3 linked regions of the Caenorhabditis elegans genome follow. The protein of the gene in region 1 purifies or fractionates together with the protein of each later gene. This does not show direct contact. Each region holds a gene or a part of one and is shown in the gene's direction. Other genes may lie near its edges. The genes, in order: arle-14, met-2 and lin-65.

Region 1 (6,196 bases):
AACAGGTGAGTTCACATAAAGATGTCTATTTATAACTATCAATGATGACTCTGGGGTTTACTATTTCCGAGGGTTTTTTGCGAAAGAACGGATCGGTAGCCGCCCCTGTGAAGAGAGAAAAAGATTGACGAAATATGTAAATAGAGAATAGACAAGTTGGTGAGCTCTTTCTGTTGTGTGTGTGAGAGAGATAGAGAGAGTACAGAGAGTACAGAGATATGGAAAGACGTAAGAAGAGGAGCGTACCGACGTCACGCCCTGGTAGGGGAGGGGAGAAGGGACACAGGACACTCTGAAAAGATAGAAAATAGAGAAAAAAGAGCCACAAGAACACTGAAATGAAATGTGCTTTGGTTTAAAAATAAGGGAACTTTTGAAAATTGAAAATACTGAAATGCGCGTATGGAGCACCAAAATTTCTTTGCAATTCAGATTGCAATTATTACCAAGTTGCAAGAAAATACAAAAAAAATAACGGTACCCGGTCTCGACGCGACCGAGAGTTTCGCAAAAGAGAGTGCGCCTTTAAAGAGTACTGTAGTTGCGAAATTCTGTTTTACGCAATTGTGTTCAATTATCATCGATATTTTTTCTTTTCGAAAAATTAGTTTTTCGAAAAACAGCTTTAAAAAGGGGTGGATAAAAATTGCAAAAAAAAACTGAGAAACTACGGTAATCTTTAAAGGTACACACTCTTCTATGCCTGAAATTTCCGGTCGCGTCGAGACCAGGTTCCGTAGTTTTTCGTCAGAAATTGTGTTTAATAGCAACAAGATTAGATTTCATTGTTATACAAGAGTTAAGGTCGGAAAAAAAATGTTTATCAAAAAATAAATATGCCAATTCAAATTTGTCCCATGAGGTATTTGAACCGATTTAAATATAATTACTGGTACTTTTTGTATTAGATGCTTTTGAATGGAAGATTAACCGCAGTTTAAGAGCACCAACAAAACAACAAACCGACTTTTCTTAATTGAGGTCTCGTGTTTTTCGAAAAAAAAAACAATGTTTTGTTTTTCTGACTGAAATGTTTCTCGAATTTTCCAATTAAAGCGAATTTTTGTTTCTTTTTATGAGCAGAGTACTCTGCAGAGTTTCATATTTTAAAGTTAAAAGATAAAAAAATACGGTATGCGGTCTCGACACGACACTTTTTTGCTAAATAAAAAGGGATGTGCGCCTTTAACGAGTACTGTAGTTTCAAACTTCCGTTGCTTTTAAATTTTCATGGAGTTTTCATGCAGCATGCAGCAACAAATTTTTGAAAGTACTGAACTCTTTAAAGGTGCACATCCGTTTTTATCCAATAAAAAATTGTCGTGTCGAGACCGAGTACCGTATTTTGGCGCAAAAATGACAAAATTTTGCGTCTGTGCAATAGTTAAGGTCCCACCGCGATCCAAGTCATCTTATTGGAAATCGCGCGGGAATTTCAACTGTTCAAGAATTCTGCTTGTATTTTTGACCTTTGTTCCTCCTCTAAGAAAATCTGTGTCCACCGCCCACCAAAAAAGATACAATTCCCACGCCTTGCAAACTCTTTGGCGTCACTATTCGTCGTGCCGAACATGAATTATTTAAAATTCTAAAATAGAAGAAAAAATAAACTAGAGAGGAGAGGAAAAGAAATAAGAAGGCACAAAAATATAAGAAAATGAATGAATGTGTGTGCATGAAGAGAAAATGAGCAATCTCATTAAATAGGCGAGCCCCTAGGAAAACCAAAAGAGAGTAGTACGGGGGCAGTGAGAGAACGAGCACATGCGTTCAGGAAATGCGTCGAGACTCGAAAATAGCAGTCGTATTGGCTATTTTTAGGCTTCTCACTGCTGCAAACGAGGGGACCACTGCTTCCTTCATGATTACATATCCATCGTTTATTTTTGGCTTTTCACATACAAGTACTCGAGGCAAAAGGCAATATATGAATATGAATAAAAGTGAGATTAAAAGCAATTGATTTAGCAGGGTTAGCATTTCTTGTTATCATACTGGAACTACGTAGTTTCCAGGGAAAAGCCCAGTGACTCCATCCAAGACACCTTCATACCAGTCGTCATCGTTCTTTTTCAGTACGTAGACAATTGCGTTCTCGCGAAGTGTCAACTCGTCTTCTTTTGCAGCATCATAGTCGTACAGGACCCGTACTGAAAAAAAAGATTGGTTTTTTTCGAAAATGTTTAAATTGACAAATATAATTGCTTTGTAACATTAAAAATTCTGCAAAAAATCGCATTTTACAACTTAAGATTTCGATTCTTTTTGGATTTTTTTGATACTCCGATGTTTTTAAAGGAAATTTATTTTTCGTTTTTTTCGAAAATAAAAGCTAAAAAGATAACTTTTTAAAAAATCAAAGCTTATAATTTTCAAAATTTGAAAATTCTCAAAAAAAAAAAATTTGGAGATATTTGAATTTTTCAAAATCACTTTCCAATATCACAAAATTTTTTGTTTTTTTCTCTTTTTTAAATTTTTATTAAATTTAATTTTTTTAAACTTTTTTCGGTTTTTATAATAAATTTTTCACTAACAATTTTAGCCAATTTTCTAAATCGTAAAATAATACAGAAAAGCTTAGAGAATTTTTTTCCGACAATTTTTCAATCAAATTAAAATCTCCAAAAATACCTTTTTCCAAATACTCGTTGGGCATCCATCCAGCACTCGTATCAAAGAGACTTGGTGGCTGACTCGAACTGTACGATTCTGTTCTACCAGCAAACACTCCATACGCTGATGACCCACCAACTGATTCTGGTGGAGGTGGTAGATCATCCATATCATCTTGTGTTGGCATTCGACTTGACATTCCAGTGAGCAAAGAATTTGGTGGAGGTGGAAGATCATGTCGGTTCACCGTTGATTTTCGAATAGTTCCATAATTTTGTTGTTGCATTTGTTGTTGTTGTTGTTGTTGTACCACACTTCCCGGTGCAACATATCCAGTATAATTCATAGCTGGTGGTGGAAGTGGGAATGTTGGTGATTCTGGACCTCCAGCACTACTTTGTGCAGATGATAGTCTGGGAATAGAAAAGCTACCATCCACTGTAGTCCGACCACCAGCTCGAATAGTTCCGTAACGATCAGGTTGATAAATGGAATTATAGTCTGATGATCCGTGTTGACTTCCGCTTCCACCACCACCGCTCATATGATCTCCGAACTCTGATCCGTGGCTCATTTGACGGCCGATTCGTGATTCTGATTGTGGTGTGACCTGTAAAAAGTAATCGGATTATGTTAGAAAAAACTTGATTAATTTTTTGAAAAGGAAATGAGCTGATTTTTTAAAAATTAGTTGTTTAGTCTGAAGTCGACAAAAACTAGCCTGAAACATTGAATTTCATAAAAAGACTTCTAAAAAATTTCAAAATTAATTATGTGATTATTCAATAAATACTGTATCTAACTGCTGTAACAAGGATTTCAGATTCTTATTCAGGCTCGCTCTAAATTTTTTTTCGATATTTTCAGAAGTCTCATTATGAAATGCGGTCGTTTTGGGTCAAAAAAACCGTTTTTTGAATAAATTTATCAATGGTTCACTTTTTTTTCAATATTGAGTGTATTTTTCAGAAAAAAAAGTTTAAAATTTAAAATGTATAAGTTATGTCAGAATTTTTCGCTCCCTTTTTTTTTTGAAAACGTTTTGTCAAAAACACGAAAAGCAAATTATTTTCAGCCTCTATGAATATTTCAAATGTTCACCTGTGGCAACCGATAATCCGATGGAGCAATTGATGGAGCATACGGTCTCATTGTTCTTCCTAACGTAGCCGTTCGTTCACCAGCATAAACTCCATACGCTGGAGATTCATTGTGAAATTGTGATGGAGAACTGCCAGAAATTGATGAAGTTGCTCTTGAGATTGGTGCTGCTCTCGGTGGATCCGATGTTCTGACACCATGCCCTATTCCGTCAAGAACAGAAAAATCGATGGGCGTTCGTTGATATCTCTGCTTTTCATCTGGGATTGCTGGTGCAATGATTTTGGGTTGCTTGAATAATGTTTTATTGGTTGTGAGAGAACCAATTTCTCGTCTTGCAAGCTTCTCTTTATGTACATCAACTACTTGGCTAACATATTGAACTTGATTTGTTAAAGAGTTCACTTTATCGGTTTGTAGAGCAAGCATATCGTGTAAATCTCTGAAAAAAAGATTCATAATTAAAACAAATTAATTGAAATACTTACGTAACCATCTTGTTAATCTGGTAGGCTACGCTGGCGAGTGCCTGGATCGCGAATTTCTTGGATTCCTCTAGCGCAGCAGATTTATTCTGAAAACGTTTAATTCATAAACTTAAAAGAAAAAATTAAACCACACGTTTGATTGTATATAATTATCCTCACAATACGCGGCAACTTGTTGAAGATTCGCATGACTCGTTTCCAGTTGAGCTCGATTATCGGGTATCCGTCGCTCGATGAGCTCTTGAAGATCATTAACACTCATTCCGCCTTCCCCATTATGTAGCATCTGTAACAAACTAAAAGTTAACTAACGTTTAGAAAAATATTTTAAAAATAATAAATTGACAGCAGAAATTTCATGAAAAACACTCAAAGGAACTGAATGAATAAGAAATTAATGAGGGCGTGGTCACAGAATGCAACGCGCGGCGCGCTTTTTCGCAAGTGGTACGCACATGTTATTTCCCGCGAGGAGAGCATATCGAATAATAGAATTTCCTCGGATATATTCAAATTAAATCGATATAAATCATATTTCCTACTAAATTTCTGAACCAATAATTCTAAAAATGAGCTCCAATGACGTTCTCGCACAAATTGCCGGTCTGGCGAAAGCTGCAGCAGAGGTTTGAAATTTGAAATTTTAATGTATTTAATTTTTGTATTTTTTTCAGCTTGAAAATGATTTCTCGACGGATAGTGAAATGCAACAAGATTCCGAGATTTGCGATGAAGTCGATGCGGAGCTTTTTGACGATTTCGAAACAAAGGTACGCTTTTGAATAAAGAAAATTTTAACAAAGTTCCCAGAAGTTGCAGCCATCATCTCGAAAGGAAAGTTCAGGAACGAGCCGTCGAACGAGAATGGCACACCGAGAGCTTCAAGGCCTCCAGTTCGCGAATCCAGGAGATGAAATGTCTCGATTTTTGCCCGACTCTGTGGATATTATTAGCACCAACCGCTCGAAACGTGTAGCCGCGGAGAAGCAGGCGGATCTGAGAGACGAACCTTTGCATCATGACAAAACAGGAAAACTTTCGGTTACCGCAAAAGGACAGACTTTGTTTTTCGATCTTTGTGATTGTCTCGTGGTGGAGTGTGATGGGTGCCATTGGCCATGTAAGCAGTGCAAATGTAAGAGATGATATTCATTAACTAAAAATATTTGTTCTAAAAATTCTTTAAACAAAGAAAAATGCATTTTTCAGCTCGCAAATGTCTCATCGGATGTCGTCAAAATCGAAAAGAAATGGTGATACGCGTCGAGGAGATGTACACAGTGACGGAAGCCCCGGGCCCTGTTGTCAATATTAATCCTTATTTTCCGGGCCAAATCAAGGATTAAATGCCTTATCGTTTTATCAATTTTAACCTCTTATGTATGTTCCCCTTTTTCTTGTACTGGTATTATCTATTTTGAACTGTTTTATACATGTCTTTGTGAAAAATTCAATCTCGATGTTCATTAAAAACTAAAGATATTGTTTGTTTTTGTTCTTTTTTGTCATACTAATCCATAGTTTCTCGGTTGATAATCTGAAAATATATCTGGCATCTTCTCGAGAAAAATTTAATCCAACGATATTTCAGAATCTTCCAGAAATGTCGTCATACGCTCTTTACCGAGGGACCACACTGGGTCAGGCACTCGATAAAACTCTTGAGGACATGGAATCCGAAGGACTTCTCACGAAATCTCTTGCTTCGAAAGTTCTGCAACAATTTGATAAAAGCATGAACAAGCAAATCTCGCGGCTTCCAAAAGAGAAAATGAATTTTTGTGCGACACAACTGCTCACTTATCGATATTGTGATAACGTTTGGACGTTTATTCTCAATAATGTCACGTTGAAAGATCCCCAGCGATCGTTTGATGAGCCTATTGATAAGTGAGTGTTTCTTTTATTTGTATTAAAAATAAAAAATCTAGAAAAAAGCAATTGTTTATTAATTTTCTATAAAAATTTTTGTTTCTCGATGATCTATAATT
Region 2 (10,855 bases), 2.7 Mb from region 1:
CGGATGATAAGTCAGCGTTTGGTGATGATGGAGATTTAGGAAACTCAACACCCACCAAAAATAAAAAGAAGAGGAGGAAACATGATTATGCTGCGACAACACCTATAGTTCGAAAATGGGATAAAGATGTTCCAAAAAAGCCAAAGAATCCAAATTTCGACTATAGGAATCTGAAAGAGTATGTCAAAGAGGCTCGCCGGCAGAGGTCATCCCTTTCTGAATCTGACGATTATTGGTTTGGGTCACCTCCAAGGAGCTCATTTTCGGCAAATTATTATTCTTCAAGGTATTTAATTTTTGTATGTTTTAAACAGTTTTATTTAACAATGTTGATTTAAGATTTTCTCGCTGGAAACACAATTCCGAAACTGGCCTCAATCCATCCTCATCACTTCTTGTGGATCCTTTTGCTTCTGGAGATTTCCATGAAGCATCTTCGTCTGAGGCATCATCAACACCATTATCACCTGCTCGTCGCACCAAATCCGAGGAAGCCATCTGGAAGCCAGTTCTTCACACAGTAAAATCCTCGAAATTATACAAAAGAGCAATTGAGAAGCAGGGGCGACTTGTGAAACTTTTCATGAGTCTTCGATTCCCAGTAGCGGCCGCTGCTTTGTTAGTTTTGACGACATGCTCTCTAATCATGGTGGCTACAAATACCTTGAAATTGTTATTCGGGTATCGCAGTTTACCTGTCTATGCTCAATACATTGAGGTAAGCTTCGGAGATTTTAAATATAATTTCTAAAAGTACATAATTTTTCAGGTACACACTCGTCATTCATTCGGACTTTTTGGGGCTTGCATCGAAACTCTTCTCATTATTTACGTGATGATCACATCTTTCGTTGGGCTGTACTCCCTTCCGGTTCTTCGTTCTCTTCGACCTGTTCGAAAAGATACTCCAATGCCAACGATAATTATTAATTCTTCAATAGTTCTTGTTGTTGCATCCGCTCTCCCAGTAGCTGTTAACACAGTTGGAATGACAACTTTTGATCTTCTCGGCTCCCACTCATCGCTCCAATGGCTTGGATCATTTCGAGTCGTTGTTGCCTATAATACTCTATTCGTCGTGTTGTCTGTCGCATTTCTCTTCAATCAATTGACTGCTTCAATGAGAAGGCAAATCTGGAAGTGGTAAGCTGTGCAATTTAAAGTTTAAATTCTTATTAATTTTTTTGCAGGATATGTCAACTACGATGTGGAATCAGACGGGAGAGTGATGCGGATGAAACCATTGAGATCCTTAGAGGCGATAAGAAAAGCAATTGAATTTCTTTCCTTTTTCAACACTTCTTACCCATGTTCATCATTTTAATCTTTTCATTACAAAAACAAGGTCCTATTTTTTTTCTCGGGTACTACTCGCCTTTTCTAATAATTCAGAATCATCAATTTTTGCCAACCTCTAGCTTTACATGTCTGTTTTTCATCATTTTCTCTCAAGCATTCTCCTAATATATTATGTTCCCTAGTATTTCCCCTCAGTCAGCAATTTTCTCGTCGTCGAAACCGTTTAGCTTTACTTTCAATCAAAACGTGGAACATTTTTCAAACTATTTGAAGCCAAAAAAAACCAGGGCTTTTGTATATGTACCATATTTTCCCTCTGATTTTCTTTATCGCCTTCTCTTTTCATGTAGAATAACTGAAATACAAACCATTTTAATTTTTTCTTTTAATTATCAATACTGTCCGTATAGGTAAAAATTATTTCTTCAGGTTTGAAAAAATCCGAAATATGTATCTGCAACTCTTCAGGGCATTGCCTCAATTAATTTTTATCTAATATTCAGATGGACCAACAAGAACCATCGAATAACGTAGATACGAGCAGTATTCTTTCGGATGATGGGATGGAAACACAGGAACAAAGTTCATTCGTCACTGCTGTGAGTGAAATTATTTAAAATTTCGCTTCGGAGATTCATTGTCATATAATTCAATTTATCGATTTTCAGACAATTGACCTAACAGTGGACGACTACGATGAAACAGAAATACAGGAGATTCTGGATAATGGAAAAGCAGAAGAAGGAACAGATGAAGATTCTGATTTAGTTGAAGGGATTCTTAACGCTAATTCAGATGTCCAAGCGCTCCTTGATGCGCCATCTGAGCAAGTAGCTCAAGCTCTTAATTCGTTCTTCGGAAATGAGAGTGAACAAGAAGCTGTTGCAGCACAAAGACGGGTTGATGCGGAGAAGACTGCCAAAGATGAAGCTGAACTCAAGCAACAGGAAGAGGCGGTTAGATTGCAATAAAGGAAACAATAATAAAATTATTTTATTTTCAGGAAGATCTTATTATAGAAGATTCGATAGTCAAAACTGATGAAGAAAAACAAGCAGTTCGAAGACTGAAAATCAACGAATTTTTATCGTGGTTCACAAGGCTCCTTCCAGAACAATTTAAAAATTTCGAATTCACAAATCCGAACTATCTGACAGAATCTATCAGCGATTCACCGGTTGTAAATGTCGATAAATGCAAGGAAATTGTCAAATCGTTCAAGGAAAGTGAATCACTTGAGGGACTTTCACAGAAATACGAATTAATTGATGAAGACGTGCTAGTCGCTGCTATTTGTATTGGCGTTCTCGATACCAACAACGAAGAAGATGTCGACTTTAATGTTCTATGTGATGATCGTATCGACGATTGGAGTATAGAAAAATGTGTCACTTTTCTTGATTATCCAAATACTGGATTGAATTCGAAAAATGGACCGTTGAGATTCATGCAGTTTACTGTCACATCACCTGCATCAGCAATTCTCATGCTCACTCTGATTCGATTACGCGAAGAAGGGCATCCGTGTCGATTAGATTTTGATTCAAATCCGACTGATGATTTACTCTTGAATTTCGATCAAGTGGAATTTTCTAATAATATCATTGATACGGCAGTCAAATACTGGGATGATCAGAAGGAAAACGGTGCGCAGGATAAAATTGGCAGGCGAGTATTAATCAAACTCACAACTGTTTTGAAAGTATTTTCATAATTATCACTTAAATACCTTTTAGAGAGCTCAACGACTTCTTCCACGAAATCGAGTCAACATCAGCAGAATTCAAACAACATTTTGAGAACGCCGTTGGCAGCCGTAATGAAATAATTCAACTTGTCAACGAGAAAATTCCCGATTTTGATGGCACTGAGGCTGCTGTGAATGAGAGTTTTACATCCGATCAACGAACCGAAATTATCAACTCTCGTGCAATAATGGAGACATTAAAAGCCGAGATGAAGCTCGCCATCGCCGAAGCTCAGAAAGTTTACGACACCAAGACTGACTTCGAAAAATTCTTCGTTTTGACAGTTGGAGATTTCTGTCTGGCTCGCGCCAATCCTTCTGACGATGCAGAATTAACATACGCCATAGTTCAGGATCGTGTGGATGCAATGACCTATAAGGTTAAATTTATCGACACAAGTCAGATCAGAGAGTGTAACATCAGAGATTTAGCCATGACTACGCAGGGAATGTATGACCCGAGTTTGAATACATTTGGTGATGTTGGTGAGTTTTAAGTTAAAATTGATATTTAATATTACATCTGTTATGTAGAATAAGGGTTTCGGTTTTTCGATTTTATTAGAAAATCGAAAATTTTAGTTTTTGTGTTAAATTTAAAAAAATCAAAATTTGATTCACTATCAAGTCCGTTTTTCTCTTCTCAAAATTGACAAAATTTTGATAATCTAGAATTTTCGTCCCGTATATTTTTCAACGAAAAACCATTTAAAATTTTCCATGATTGGATTTTCGGTTGATCTAGAAAAAAATGGTGCTAAACACTAAATTTGAAAAAGTTTGAAACAAATTCAAATCCAAATATTTCATGAAAAACTTGTAAAATATATTATGTACACAAAAAAACGTTTCAAGTGTAGCAGTTGTTTTTTGTGGTCCCAAAAAAGCAGATGTTTGTCAGAATCCATTAAACAACAAAAAAATCCAAAAACTCAACCTGGCCTAGATATCAGTTTCATGATCGAAGTATCTAAAATCATTGTTTTCAGGTCTTCGAGTTGCCTGTCGCCAAGTTATTTCCTCGAGCCAATTTGGAAAAAAAACAATTTGGCTTACCGGTACAGCTGCCGGACGTCGCAGAGCTCATAGATCCGATTTTCTAATTTTCTTCGACAACGGAACCGATGCATACGTGTCAGCTCCGACAATGCCTGGTGAACCAGGTTATGAAGTTGCTTCTGAAAAGAAAAGTGTATTTTCTCTCAAAGAAATGATTGCGAAGATGAATGCTGCTCAGATTGCTATTATGGTTGGACAGCCAGTAGGAAAGGAAGGAAATCTGGATTATTTTTTGACATTTCATTGGATTCGACAATCTCACAGATCAGCGTATATTCGGGATTTTATGAAAGAATTTCCGGAATGGCCACTTCTCAAGATGCCAGTTGGAATGCGAATCTGTTTGTACAATTCTCTTGTTGATCGACGTAAGAAAATGGTGACAGTGATTGGAACTGATCGAGCTTTTGCTATTGTGAGACACGAAGCACCGAATCCATTGGCTCCTGGGAATAGATGTACAGACTTTCCGTGCAATGATAGAAATCATCAGCATATTGACGAGAAAATCTATAGAGGATCTCATAGATTGGAAGGCGCAGCGGTAAGATTTTATTTGAAAAATTGATACAAAACGAGGATTTTCTAAAATTATTTTATTTTTATTTGATTTGATTTCTTATAATTGATAATCAAGGTTTTTTGGATGTTTTGTTAGAGAAATCGAAAAGGGAAACTTCCAAAAAAAAGCTGTGAAATCAATTTTTGCTTTTAATAATATCCAAGTTTCATCTTCAAAGTTTTTTCTATAAAATGGACACAAACTTTTCAACGTTTTCAAAAAAAAGGTTCCGAAAATATGAAAAAAGGAGAAAGAAATCATGAAAATTTTGTATTATTTCAGCACAAGAAGCACATGATCTCGACAAATAACAATCTGTCGCAACGCAGAAAAGACCAGCTTCAATCACAGTTCGAGCCAACCGACATGATTCGTTCGATGCCAGAGAGGAATCACCAACAAGTCGTTAAAAAGAAAACGACGGGCACCAATCAGAATGTCGCTTCGACAAATGATGCAAAATCGAAGAGAGAAATTGAAATAAGAAAGAAAAATCAATTCTTATTTAACAAGATTATTGTTCCAATACCCGTCCTAACACCATTGGAAAATCTCAAGGCTCATGCTCAATGTGGTCCAGATTGTCTACAGAAAATGGATGCGGATCCGTATGAAGCAAGATTCCATCGAAATTCACCAATACATACTCCTCTTTTGTGTGGTTGGAGACGAATTATGTACACAATGAGTACTGGAAAGAAGCGGGGAGCAGTGAAGAAAAACATTATTTACTTTTCTCCATGCGGAGCCGCTCTTCACCAGATCAGCGACGTCTCTGAATATATTCATGTCACCAGAAGTTTATTGACGATTGATTGTTTTTCATTTGATGCACGAATCGATACTGCCACTTATATTACTGTTGACGATAAATATTTGAAGGTTGCTGATTTTTCGCTTGGAACCGAAGGAATCCCAATTCCACTAGTGAACAGCGTGGATAACGATGAGCCTCCATCATTGGAATATTCGAAACGACGATTCCAATACAATGATCAAGTGGATATATCGAGTGTTAGCCGAGATTTCTGTTCTGGATGCTCTTGTGATGGTGATTGCAGTGACGCATCGAAGTGTGAATGCCAACAATTGTCCATTGAAGCAATGAAACGACTCCCCCATAATTTACAATTCGACGGACACGACGAATTGTATGAGAGTTCAGAAAAACAAAATAAATTTTTAAAACTATTTTTTTTCAGAGTTCCTCACTATCAAAATCGTCTTCTCAGCAGTAAGGTTATCAGTGGACTCTATGAATGCAACGATCAGTGTTCATGCCATCGAAAGTCTTGTTACAACAGAGTTGTTCAGAACAATATCAAGTATCCTATGCATGTGAGTTTATTTAACGATGATACATACCAATTATTGTTTTTTCTTCAGATCTTCAAAACTGCTCAATCCGGATGGGGAGTCCGAGCTTTGACGGATATTCCTCAAAGTACGTTCATTTGCACGTATGTAGGTGCTATACTGACGGATGATTTGGCTGATGAACTAAGAAATGCGGATCAATACTTCGCTGATTTGGACTTGAAGGATACCGTGGAGCTGGAAAAGGGTCGCGAAGATCATGAAACTGATTTTGGTTACGGAGGAGACGAGTCAGATTATGATGACGAAGAAGGAAGTGATGGTGACTCCGGTGATGATGTAATGAACAAAATGGTGAAACGTCAAGACTCTTCGGAGAGTGGTGAAGAAACAAAACGGCTGACAAGACAGAAAAGAAAGCAATCTAAAAAATCCGGTAAAGGAGGAAGTGTGGAGAAAGATGACACCACTCCAAGAGATTCAATGGAAAAGGATAATATTGAAAGTAAAGACGAACCCGTTTTCAATTGGGATAAGTATTTTGAGCCGTTTCCATTGTATGTTATAGATGCAAAACAGAGAGGAAATCTTGGAAGGTAAGATCACAATTTTATTCATTAAAAAAATTTTTTAGAGATTTTGCTTTAAATGATAAAAAATGGACAAACCAACCGTTTGCCTCTTCTTTTGGTTTATCAACCTTTCTCTATGGAAAAAATTCTGAAAAATTAACAAACAGTATTTCACGTTGAAAAGTGAAGAAAAAAGCAAAAAAAGGAAACAAATTTCAAAACGGTTCTACTCCATCTTAAAAAAACTAAAATTCGTAAAAAGTCATTTGGTATGTTTTGGAGACTATAATACAATTGAGAAAATTTGAAAAACCGGCACTCCAAAGATACAATCATAAATTTTCGATAACTTTCAGATTCTTGAATCACTCTTGCGATCCGAATGTGCACGTTCAACACGTCATGTACGATACGCATGATCTTCGTCTTCCATGGGTCGCGTTTTTCACACGAAAATACGTGAAAGCCGGCGATGAGCTAACCTGGGACTATCAATATACTCAAGATCAGACGGCTACCACACAACTCACATGCCACTGCGGAGCTGAAAACTGCACCGGCCGTTTGCTGAAAAGTTAAAGAATTGTTGTTATTTCCTTCCCAGTTATGTTTTCCTTTTTTTTTAAGTATTTATTTATTTATTTAATTTTTATTTTGTTTATTGTTCAATCGTTTAAAATCTCCCTTTGAAAACAGCATCTCATATGTATGATCTAAACACGTATTTACCTCGTAAGGGTTTGCCAAATAGTTTCTTTGGTTTTCATTTTGATTTTCTCTGCGAATAAAATGTTTTAAAAAAGACATTATATTTTTTAATAGTCAGTACAGTTTTGATGTCTCCAATCTATTTCAGTTTACAATTTTAAAATATAGAATATATATATTTAGGTTTCATAAGTTATGCATCGATTACGGGTTCTACGTCACTTGAAGTTCTGCATTTCCACGTCACATAGGACTACTGTAGTTTTAAAAAATACTCGTTCATTTTGTAATAATATTCCTTCTACTAGTTTTGCTTCTGGTAATAATCGAATTTCAAAACTTTAGCTAAAATATTTCTTTTTGAAGAGGCTGCAGCAAAATATGAAAAGAAAAGTCCAACTGAACATGTATTACTTCGACCCGATACATATATTGGAGGTGTCGCCATGCGAGAAGATCAAATTATTTGGCTCAGAGACTCAGAAAATAGAAAAATGATTGCAAAAGAAGTCACTTATCCACCTGGATTATTGAAGATTTTCGATGAGATTCTAGTGAATGCGGCTGATAATAAAGCAAGAGATTCCAGTATGAATCGGTTGGAAGTATGGTTAGATAGGTAAATATATTGCAGGAATTTATGTTCTGCGACAAAGCTACGATACGCTGTCTCGCCACGACAATTGTTTTGGTAAATGCATGAAAATCGACGTGCACCTTTAAATAATACTGTAGTTTTAAATTCTCGTTTCTTCAATTTTTCATAAATGGTTTTCCGATGAATATATGATTTTAAAAAAATCTAAAATTCACATTAATTTATAAGAAACAAAATTCCTCAAAAACGAAAGTTTGGCGATACAGTACTATCTTTTTCACTTTTTCGCATTAAACAAAAATTTGTCGTGTCGAGACCGGGTACCGTTTTTTGTTGCACAAATTCGCGTCTTCGTAATGTATATCCTTAAAAATAAATTTTTAAGAGAAACCGCACGAATATCGGTATGGAATAACGGAAGCGGACTTCCAGTGGAAATTCATCCAACCGAAGGAATTTATGTTCCAACGCTTGTCTTTGGAAATTTATTCACTTCATCAAATTATGATGATTCTGAAATTAAAACAGTTGGTGGAAGAAATGGATATGGTGCAAAACTTTGTAATATTTTCTCAAAGGAATTTATCGTTGAAACAGTGGATACAAGAATAAAACGACGGTTTAGACAGGTTTCTGATAATAAAATCGAGGAATTAATTGAATTAATTTATTAAATTTTTAGAAATGGTATGACAATATGAAAAAGTGTAATGAGGCGGAAGTTGTCGAGATTTTAGATGAAACAGTCAAAGACTACACTAAAGTATGAAGTTTCGATAGGCTCCTCCCCCAAACCATGGGTCTCGCTAGGTATTTGGTGGAAAACAGGAATTTCAGACGTTTTCAATTAGTTTCGCCGATTTTGTCAATTTTCAAACGTTTACCGTTATGTTTTTGATGAAATAAAAAAAATTCTTAAAAACATGCGAAAATAATTAAAAACGTTTAAATTTCCGATTTTGCCGTCAAATACCAAATGAGACCCATAGGATCTCATAATAAAGATAAAAACCATTTTTGTTTCAGGTCGAATTTGTTCCTGATCTTGAACGTTTCCAAATAGATAAACTCTCCGATGACGTCATCGATCTTATCGGAAGACGTGTATTTGAAGTTGCTGCAACTCTTCCACGAGATGTTGATGTTTACCTAAATGGCCAAAAATGTGATGTAGACGGATTCGAAGATTATGTAAAAATGTTCAATGACTCTTCGTCTCTTCTATTTCTTCATCCAACACCTCGATGGCATGTGGGCGTGGCCAAACGGAATAATTTCTTTGGAGAATCTCATGTGGTCCTTCCGAAAATTGTTAGCTTCGTGAATAATATCAACACGGAGAAAGGGGGAAGCCACGTGGATTATGTGATGGATAAAATAGTGAATATTATCAAGCCAATCGTAGATTCAAAGTTAGGAGATCCTACGAAAAGTGTGAAACCAGCAGTTATCAAGAATAATTTGTCTATATTTATCAATTGTCTCATTGAAAATCCATCTTTTGAAAGTCAAACTAAAGAAACTTTGACGACGAAAGCCAAGAATTTTGGATCAATTTTTGAATGTGATGCGAAGGTTAGAAATATAAAATTAGTATATTCAGTACTATTTTTAAAATTTTTTCAGAAAACAGCAGAATGGGCGGAACAGAGTGGATTAATAGAGGATATTGTGGAAGAAGTATTGAATATGAAAAAGAAGAAATTACCAGGAAAACGAGTTTCAGTGTCTTCAGTTCGAGATATTGTCAAGCTAGAAGACGCTGAATGGGCTGGAATTACGGGAACGGCAGAGAAGTGCACATTGATTCTCACAGAAGGTATCATATTAACTAGGTCCCTGCGTCTTTAAAGATTACTGTAATTTCCACCGATTTTCTATAGTTTTCCGTCAAAAATGTATTTATTTATCAAAAAACGATTAAACATTTACTAGGTTTTAATATATATTTTAATAGTTAGGTTGTTTTTAAAGAAAAACTAGAAAATCGGTGGAAATTACAGTACTCCTCAAAGGCGCACATCCGTTTGTATTTCACAGAAAATTGCCGTGTCGAGACCAGTTACCGTATTGAAACTAAGAATTTCTATTCAATAAACACATTTTCAGGTGATTCGGCGAAAGCTTTGGCTCTTGCCGGCTTAGAAGTTCTGGGACGTGAAACTTATGGAGTATTTCCACTGAAAGGAAAACTGTTGAACGTATCAAATCTAGATGACGCCCGTGCATCGAAGAATGAAGAAATTTCGAATCTTCTCCGAATTCTTGGATTGAAATTTGAAGATTCGAACTCAATAACTCGCGAGTCTCTTCGATACGGTCGACTCTTGATTTTGGCGGATCAGGATGAGGATGGCAGTCACATCAAGGGACTAATTGTTAATTTTATTCATAAATTCTGGCCAAGTCTTGTGCATACAGATGGATTCATTCAATCATTCCGAACACCACTACTGAAAGCAAAGAAAGGAGATAAAGTTAGATCATTCTTCTCAATGAATGAATATCGGAAATGGGCAGATGTTGAAGAAGGAGGAAAATGGAAAATTAAATATTATAAAGGACTTGGAACTTCAACTTCGAATGAAGCAAGAGAATATTTCAGTGATTTAGATCATCATACTGTTAAGTAAGTAACTTCCAATACGGAGAAAATATCAAAATTTTATTTTTTTCAGTTTTAAATACACTGGAACAACAGATGATGATGCTATTCGAATGGCTTTTGATAGAGATAAGAGTGACGAGAGAAAAGAATGGATCAGAAGATCAGAAAATGAGATTACGAATGAAGATGATGGTAAAACTGAAATAAGTTATCAAGAATTCGTTGATGGGCAACTTATGCAATTTGGAATGGTCGATTTAAAAAGGTATCCCAAGCAAGGCCGTCCAACGAGAAAATTTTTGCAATTATCAAGAAACGGGAATTCTTGCCAAAAAAAACCAAGAAAAAACTAATTCTTTCGAAAATATTTATTAACATAAAATGA
Region 3 (7,653 bases), on another chromosome or scaffold:
TCATGGAAGTCACAAAAATCGCCCTCGAGAACAATATTCGAGTACGTGGCTACGTTTCAGTCGTCGTTGGATGCCCGTATCAGGGAGCTGTACAGCCGGAAATGGTGGCCAGAGTCGCCGAGAAGCTTCTAGAATCTGGGTGTTATGAGGTCTCGCTGGGCGACACTATTGGCGTTGGAACAGTGAAAACTGTGTCGAAAATGCTGGATACGGTGCTGAAAAGTGTGCCAGGTAGCGGATTTTTTTAAATATTTTATATTAAAATTTCGATTTTTCGAGTGAAAAACTACAAAAAAAGTAGTTTCCCGCAGTTTTCCCGGCTTTTTTCGCATGAAAACCAATCGATTTCAGTCAAATAACTCACGAAACGATAAAAATCTCAATTTTCGTTGCGAGACCCACAATCTGTGGAGAAATTGACCGAATATCGTGATAAAAAAATTCAAAATTTTTTTCTAGACTATATGATTTTTTTTTGAAAATTGAAAAATCTCAGTTTTTACATAATTATATTTGAATTTTCGCCTATTGGATTTGACCGATGGAGCGCGCTTGCATTATTTTAATCAATTAATTTTATTTATTCTCATTATTCGACTGATTTTCTTCTTTTCTGTTTTTTTTTTGTTGGAAAATGAAAGAAATAAAAAAGACAGATGCAAAATTTTTGTTAAAAAATAACTGAAAATGCCTTAAACTGTAATTTTTTTTGAATTCTGACGACGACAAACCTGAAATTAGTATATTTCACAGTTTTACAAAATATATTTTTATTTATAAAACTGTAAAATATACTAATTTCAGGCTTGCCGTCGTCAGAATTCAAAAAAAATACAGTTTTAGGCATTTTCAGTTACTTTTTAACAAACATTTTGCATATGTCTTTTTTATTTCTTTCATTTTCCAACAAAAAAAAACAGAAGAAATGAAGAAATTCAGTCGAATAATGAGAATAAATAAAATTAATTAATTCCAATAATGCAAGCGCGCTCCATCGGTCAAATCCGATTGGCGGTAATTCAAATAGGAATTAGGGGAAAACTGAGATTTTTTCAATTATCAAAAAAAAATCTTATAAAATCTAGAAAAAATTTTTTGAATTTTTTTATCATGATATTCGGTCAATTTCCCCACAGATTGTGGGTCTCGCAGCGAAAATTGAGATTTTTATCGTTTTTTGAGTTATTTCAATGAAAAATCGATTGATTTTCAGGCGAAAAAAGTCGGGAAAACTGTGAAAAAAAATTATTTTCGAAAGAAAAAAAAATTTCAAAAAATCACCACCATTTCAGCCGAAAAACTCGCAGTTCATTTCCACGACACATACGGTCAAGCTCTCGCAAATGTGCTCATTTCCATCGAAAAAGGCATCCGAAGTGCGGATTCAAGTATCGCAGGGCTCGGTGGTTGCCCATATGCGAAAGGAGCAACTGGAAATCTTGCAACTGAAGATTTATTGTATTTTTTGAAAGGAAACGGTTTTGAAACTGGTGTCAATTTGGACAAAGTTGTCGAAACTGCAAAATGGTTTAATGAAGCCGCCGGATATGATAAATGGTCGAGAGTTGGAGCTGCAATGATGGCTAAAAAGAGCAAAAGCTGCTGCTGAAAATGTGTGCTGTAAAAAATTTAAAAAAATTTTTAAAAATTCGTGTAAAAATTACCCCGGTTGTTTAGGAAATAATAAAGAGATTAGAGACTTTTTTCAGATTTTTATTTTCTTGAGTTTTGCCGGTTTTCAGCCGATTTCTATCTTTTTTTTCTCATTTTTTGTGATTTTTTTTCGCTAGTTTTCCCCTCAATTTCTCGATTTTTTCACGATTTTTTGAAAATTTTCGGAAAATTGAATTGTTTGCAAAAAAAAAAATTCAAAAACCGCATTTTTCTCAGAATTTTTCTGGGATTTTGTACAAATTTTTGAATTATTTCTCAAAAAAAAGCAGGTTTTTACCGATTTTTTTGGTTTTTTCCCCAAAATTTTCCGATTTTTTCCGAGTTTTGCCGGTTTTCAGCCGAATTCTACTCTCGATTTTTTTACGATTTTTTGGAAATTTTCGGAAAATTATTTGAAAAAAAATCAAAAAACCGCATTTTTTTTTCTGAATTTTCTGGGATTTTGTACGAAATTTTGAAATTTTTCTCGAAAAAAGCAAGTTATTCCCCAAAATTTTCTGATTTTCCCCCAAAAATTTAGATTTTTCCCGAGTTTTCCCCAGTTCTCAGCTGATTTCTATATTTTTTTCTCAATTTTTGTGATTTTTTGTTGCTAGTTTTCCCTTCAATTCCTCGAGTTTTTCACGATTTTTTGGAGATTTTCGAAAAATTGTTTGAAAAAAATCAAGAAACCACATTTTTCTCTGGATTTTCTCGAAATTTGCACAAAATTTTTGAATTTTTTCGTAAAAAAAAACTGTTTTCCCCAAAAATTTCAGATTTGTTTTTGATTTTTTTCGAGATTTTCCCCTGATTTCAAAGTTTTTTCCTGAATTTTTCGAATATTTCCTGAAAAATCGGCTATTTCTAACTTTTTAAATAATTTTTTTTGAATTTCTGACTTTTTAAATCCTTTTTTTTTTGCCATTTTTTCCCATCTAAAATTCTAAATTATTCAAAATTTTACAGAATGTCAGAAGTAATCGACGAAAGTATCTTAAATACAGAAGCTTCAGATGATCCAATACCTCCATTAAATGATGATCAGATTGCTGAGCTTTTGGGTGAAGATGGAGAAATTATGGAGATAACTGAGCAGAAAGGTGAGATTTTTTGAGTAAAACCTTGAATTTTGCACTAAAAATTTGCAATTTTCGCTAAAAATTACCTTAAAACTCGAAAATTGGAATTTCTAGCTGAGAAAATGGCCAAAAATGTCGAAAAATGCCTCCGAAACCTGTGAAAAAAAAAACCACCAAAAAGGTTTCTAGGCCACCAAAAAGATTTCTAGGCCACCAAAAATGTTTCTAGGCCACCAAAAATGTTTCTAGGCCACCAAAAATGTTTCTAGGCCACCAAAAATGTTTCTAGGCCACCAAAAATGTTTCTAGGCCACCAAACAGGTTTCAATGCCACCAAAAATGTTTCTAGGCCACCAAAAATGTTTCTAGGCCCCCAAAAAATTTTTCTAGGCCACCAAAAAGGTTTCTAGGCCACCAAAAATGTTTCTAGGCCACCAAAAAGGTTTCTAGGCCACCAAACAGGTTTCAATGCCACCAAAAAGGTTTCTAGGCCACCAACCAGGTTTCAATGCCACCAAAAATGTTTCTAGGCCACCAAAAAGGTTTCTAGGCCACCAAAAATGTTTCTAGGCCACCAAAAATGTTTCTAGGCCACCAAAAAGGTTTCTAGGCCACCAAACAGGTTTCAATGCCACCAAAAATGTTTCTAGGCCACCAAACAGGTTTCAATGCCACCAAAAAGGTTTCTAGGCCACCAAAAAGGTTTCTAGGCCACCAAAAATGTTTCTAGGCCACCAAAAAGGTTTCTAGGCCACCAAACAGGTTTCAATGCCACCAAAAATGTTTCTAGGCCACCAAACAGGTTTCAATGCCACCAAAAATGTTTCTAGGCCACCAAACAGGTTTCAATGCCACCAAAAATGTTTCTAGGCCACCAAAAAGGTTTCTAGGCCACCAAAAATGTTTCTAGGCCACCAAAAATGTTTCTAGGCCACCAAAAAGGTTTCTAGGCCACCAAACAGGTTTCAATGCCACCAAAAATGTTTCTAGGCCACCAAACAGGTTTCAATGCCACCAAAAATGTTTCTAGGCCACCAAAAATGTTTCTAGGCCCCCAAAAAATTTTTCTAGGCCACCAAAAAGGTTTCTAGGCCACCAAAAATGTTTCTAGGCCACCAAAAAGGTTTCTAGGCCACCAAACAGGTTTCAATGCCACCAAAAAGGTTTCTAGGCCACCAACCAGGTTTCAATGCCACCAAAAATGTTTCTAGGCCACCAAAAAGGTTTCTAGGCCACCAAAAATGTTTCTAGGCCACCAAAAATGTTTCTAGGCCACCAAAAAGGTTTCTAGGCCACCAAAAAGGTTTCAAGGCCACCAAAAAGGTTTCAATGCCACCAAAAATGTTTCTAGGCCACCAAACAGGTTTCAATGCCACCAAAAAGGTTTCTAGGCCACCAAAAATGTTTCTAGACCACCAAAAAGGTTTCTAGGCCACCAAACAGGTTTCAATGCCACCAAAAAGGTTTCTAGGCCACCAAACAGGTTTCAATGCCACCAAAAATGTTTCTAGGCCACCAAAAAGGTTTCTAGGCCACCAAAAATGTTTCTAGGCCACCAAAAATGTTTCTAGGCCACCAAAAAGGTTTCTAGGCCACCAAACAGGTTTCAATGCCACCAAAAATGTTTCTAGGCCACCAAACAGGTTTCAATGCCCCCAAAAAATTTTTCTAGGCCACCAAAAAGGTTTCTAGGCCATCAAAAATGTTTCTAGACCACCAAAAAGGTTTCTAGGCCACCAAAAATGTTTCTAGACCACCAAAAAGGTTTCTAGGCCACCAAAAATGTTTCTAGGCCACCAAAAAGGTTTCTAGGCCACCAAAAATGTTTCTAGGCCACCAAAAAGGTTTCTAGGCCACCAAACAGGTTTCAATGCCACCAAAAAGGTTTCTAGGCCACCAACCAGGTTTCAATGCCACCAAAAATGTTTCTAGGCCACCAAAAAGGTTTCTAGGCCACCAAAAATGTTTCTAGGCCACCAAAAATGTTTCTAGGCCACCAAAAAGGTTTCTAGGCCACCAAAAAGGTTTCAAGGCCACCAAAAAGGTTTCAATGCCACCAAAAATGTTTCTAGGCCACCAAACAGGTTTCAATGCCACCAAAAAGGTTTCTAGGCCACCAAACAGGTTTCAATGCCACCAAAAAGGTTTCTAGACCACCAAAAAGGTTTCTAGGCCACCAAACAGGTTTCAATGCCACCAAAAAGGTTTCTAGGCCACCAAACAGGTTTCAATGCCACCAAAAATGTTTCTAGGCCACCAAAAAGGTTTCTAGGCCACCAAAAATGTTTCTAGGCCACCAAAAATGTTTCTAGGCCACCAAAAAGGTTTCTAGGCCACCAAACAGGTTTCAATGCCACCAAAAATGTTTCTAGGCCACCAAACAGGTTTCAATGCCCCCAAAAAATTTTTCTAGGCCACCAAAAAGGTTTCTAGGCCACCAAAAATGTTTCTAGACCACCAAAAAGGTTTCTAGGCCACCAAAAATGTTTCTAGACCACCAAAAAGGTTTCTAGGCCACCAAAAATGTTTCTAGGCCACCAAAAAGGTTTCTAGGCCACCAAACAGGTTTCAATGCCACCAAAAATGTTTCTAGGCCACCAAAAATGTTTCTAGGCCCCCAAAAAATTTTTCTAGGCCACCAAAAAGGTTTCAATGCCACCAAAAATGTTTCTAGGCCACCAAAAAGGTTTCTAGGCCACCAAAAATGTTTCTAGGCCACCAAAAATGTTTCTAGGCCACCAAAAAGGTTTCTAGGCCACCAAACAGGTTTCAATGCCACCAAAAATGTTTCTAGGCCACCAAACAGGTTTCAATGCCACCAAAAAGGTTTCTAGGCCACCAAAAATGTTTCTAGACCACCAAAAAGGTTTCTAGGCCACCAAACAGGTTTCAATGCCACCAAAAAGGTTTCTAGGCCACCAAACAGGTTTCAATGCCACCAAAAATGTTTCTAGGCCACCAAAAAGGTTTCTAGGCCACCAAAAATGTTTCTAGGCCACCAAAAATGTTTCTAGGCCACCAAAAAGGTTTCTAGGCCACCAAACAGGTTTCAATGCCACCAAAAATGTTTCTAGGCCACCAAACAGGTTTCAATGCCACCAAAAATGTTTCTAGGCCACCAAAAATGTTTCTAGGCCCCCAAAAAATTTTTCTAGGCCACCAAAAAGGTTTCTAGGCCACCAAAAATGTTTCTAGACCACCAAAAAGGTTTCTAGGCCACCAAAAATGTTTCTAGACCACCAAAAAGGTTTCTAGGCCACCAAAAATGTTTCTAGGCCACCAAAAAGGTTTCTAGGCCACCAAAAATGCTTCTAGGCCACCAAAAATGTTTCTACGCCACCAAAAGCCGCCTCAAGCCCGAAAAATTTGAATTTCCCGCTCAAAAAATCTAAAATTTTCCGATTTTCAGACGAATCAGATGATGTGGTGATGCTGGACGACGATGATGACGACACTCCGGAACCGATTCTCGTGATTGATATGGATGAGGATGAGGATGTTACTACAGATGGTCCTGAATCTCAGGAAGAGCTGGCTGCAGATGCTCCGGCTCCAGGAGCTCCAGAAGCTTCAGCTCCAGCTCAAGAAGCCTCAGAAGCTTCAGCTCCGGATCAAGAAGCTCCAGAAGTTCAGGATGTTCCGGATTCTTCGGGAGCTCCAGATGCTTCAGCTCAGGCTTCAGAGGCTTCTGATGCTTCAGCTCCAGAAGTTCCAGGATCTACAGAAGCTCAGGATGCTCAGGATGTTCCGGATTCTTTGGGAGCTTCAGATGCTTCAGCTCAAGAAATTCCAGAAGCTCCAGAAGCCCCAGAAGCTCCAGAAATCGCCGCTGAAATCGACGAAGAAGTGCTGCTCGCCGAGCAAAATGGAGTTTTGGACGAAGGATTTGATGAGACTGACGATATTATCATAGAAGAAGAAGCTGTAGAAGAAGCTGAAGCCGTGGAGCCACCAATTAACACTGAAAATCAGGAAAACGCGCTGGAAATGCTCGAAGAGCGCCTCAAGAAGAATGAAGAAAAGGAAATTGTGGAGAAAAGTGATGTGAAGCCAGAGGATGAAGATATTATACATATGGAGACGGATTCAGTTGAAAGTATGGGCTTTTTTAGCTGGAAAACAGGAAAAAAGAGCAAAAAATTGATACATTTCCAGCTTAACCAATCTTTTTTTGAGTTGTAAAGCCTGAAAATTGAGATTTTTGTACCAACTTTTATGATAAAGCTGAAAAAAAAATTAATTTTTTGACGAATTTTTAGCGGAAACCCTGAAAACATGTTTTGTCTGAAAAATACAGAAAATCGTCACTTTTTACAATAAATTCGAGATTTTTAGCTCAAAAATACAACATTATAGTGCAAAAATCTCAGAAAAAGCCAAAAATTTCATTCAAACATCTCAAAAAAAGCAGAAATTTTACTCAAAATATCTCAGAAAAAGCTAAAATTTTCCCAAAAAATCCCAGAAAAAGCAGAATTTTCATTCAAAATTCCCAGAAAAAGCTGATAATTTACTAAACAATCTCAGAAAATGCTGAAATTTTACTCAAAAGTCTTCATAAAAAGCTGAAATTTTACTTTAAAAGTTTAGGAAATGCTGCAATTTCACTTAAAAATCCCAAAAAAGCTAAAATTTTCCCAAAAAATCCCAGAAAAAGCAGAAATTTTACTCGAATATCTCAAAAAAAAAAAAGCTGAAATTTCACTCAAAAATCCCAGAAAAAGCTAAAAATTTACTAAAAAATCTCAAAAAAAAAAACGCTAAAATTTCACTCAAAAATCTCAGAAAAAGCTAAAATTTTACTCGAATATCTCAAAAAAAAAAACTGAAATTTTCCTAAAAAATTTATGAAAAACCGAAATTTCACTTAAAAGTCTCATAAAAAGCCGAATTTTCCCAAAAAAATCCCAGAAAAAGC

The links.
Region 2: the proteins of arle-14 (region 1) and met-2 purify together in Caenorhabditis elegans (affinity purification with mass spectrometry; one study listed by BioGRID). This does not show direct contact.
Region 3: the proteins of arle-14 (region 1) and lin-65 purify together in Caenorhabditis elegans (affinity purification with mass spectrometry; one study listed by BioGRID). This does not show direct contact.

The regions. Positions count from the first base shown.
Region 1 is NC_003281.10:5,688,240-5,694,435, forward strand, and holds arle-14 (ARF7 effector protein C-terminal domain-containing protein), read left to right. Parts: upstream 1-4,710; 5' UTR 4,711-4,774; coding exon 4,775-4,831; intron 4,832-4,879; coding exon 4,880-4,975; intron 4,976-5,015; coding exon 5,016-5,340; intron 5,341-5,414; coding exon 5,415-5,551; 3' UTR 5,552-5,696; downstream 5,697-6,196. Other genes in the region: abi-1 (SH3 domain-containing protein), read right to left, coding at 1,990-2,150, 2,635-3,226, 3,718-4,159, 4,206-4,291, 4,339-4,467; B0336.13 (Transcription initiation factor IIA small chain homolog), read left to right, coding at 5,809-6,095.
Region 2 is NC_003281.10:8,373,498-8,384,352, forward strand, and holds met-2 (Histone-lysine N-methyltransferase met-2), read left to right. Parts: upstream 1-1,802; coding exon 1,803-1,898; intron 1,899-1,967; coding exon 1,968-2,255; intron 2,256-2,302; coding exon 2,303-2,967; intron 2,968-3,035; coding exon 3,036-3,532; intron 3,533-4,035; coding exon 4,036-4,649; intron 4,650-4,949; coding exon 4,950-5,818; intron 5,819-5,869; coding exon 5,870-6,005; intron 6,006-6,053; coding exon 6,054-6,580; intron 6,581-6,912; coding exon 6,913-7,135; 3' UTR 7,136-7,366; downstream 7,367-10,855. Other genes in the region: lmbr-1 (LIMR family protein R05D3.2), read left to right, coding at 1-286, 340-718, 770-1,143, 1,191-1,278; R05D3.12 (Putative DNA topoisomerase 2, mitochondrial), read left to right, coding at 7,460-7,583, 7,631-7,883, 8,248-8,491, 8,545-8,625, 8,889-9,437, 9,489-9,681, 9,972-10,491, 10,541-10,735. UniProt on the Caenorhabditis elegans protein: Histone methyltransferase which is required for the mono- and dimethylation of 'Lys-9' of histone H3. This increases the efficiency of set-25-mediated trimethylation of histone H3 'Lys-9'.
Region 3 is NC_003279.8:1,752,707-1,760,359, forward strand, and holds the start of lin-65 (uncharacterized protein), read left to right. Parts: upstream 1-2,622; 5' UTR 2,623-2,623; coding exon 2,624-2,756; intron 2,757-6,144; coding exon 6,145-6,831; intron 6,832-7,653. Other genes in the region: Y71G12B.10 (hydroxymethylglutaryl-CoA lyase), read left to right, coding at 1-231, 1,293-1,609.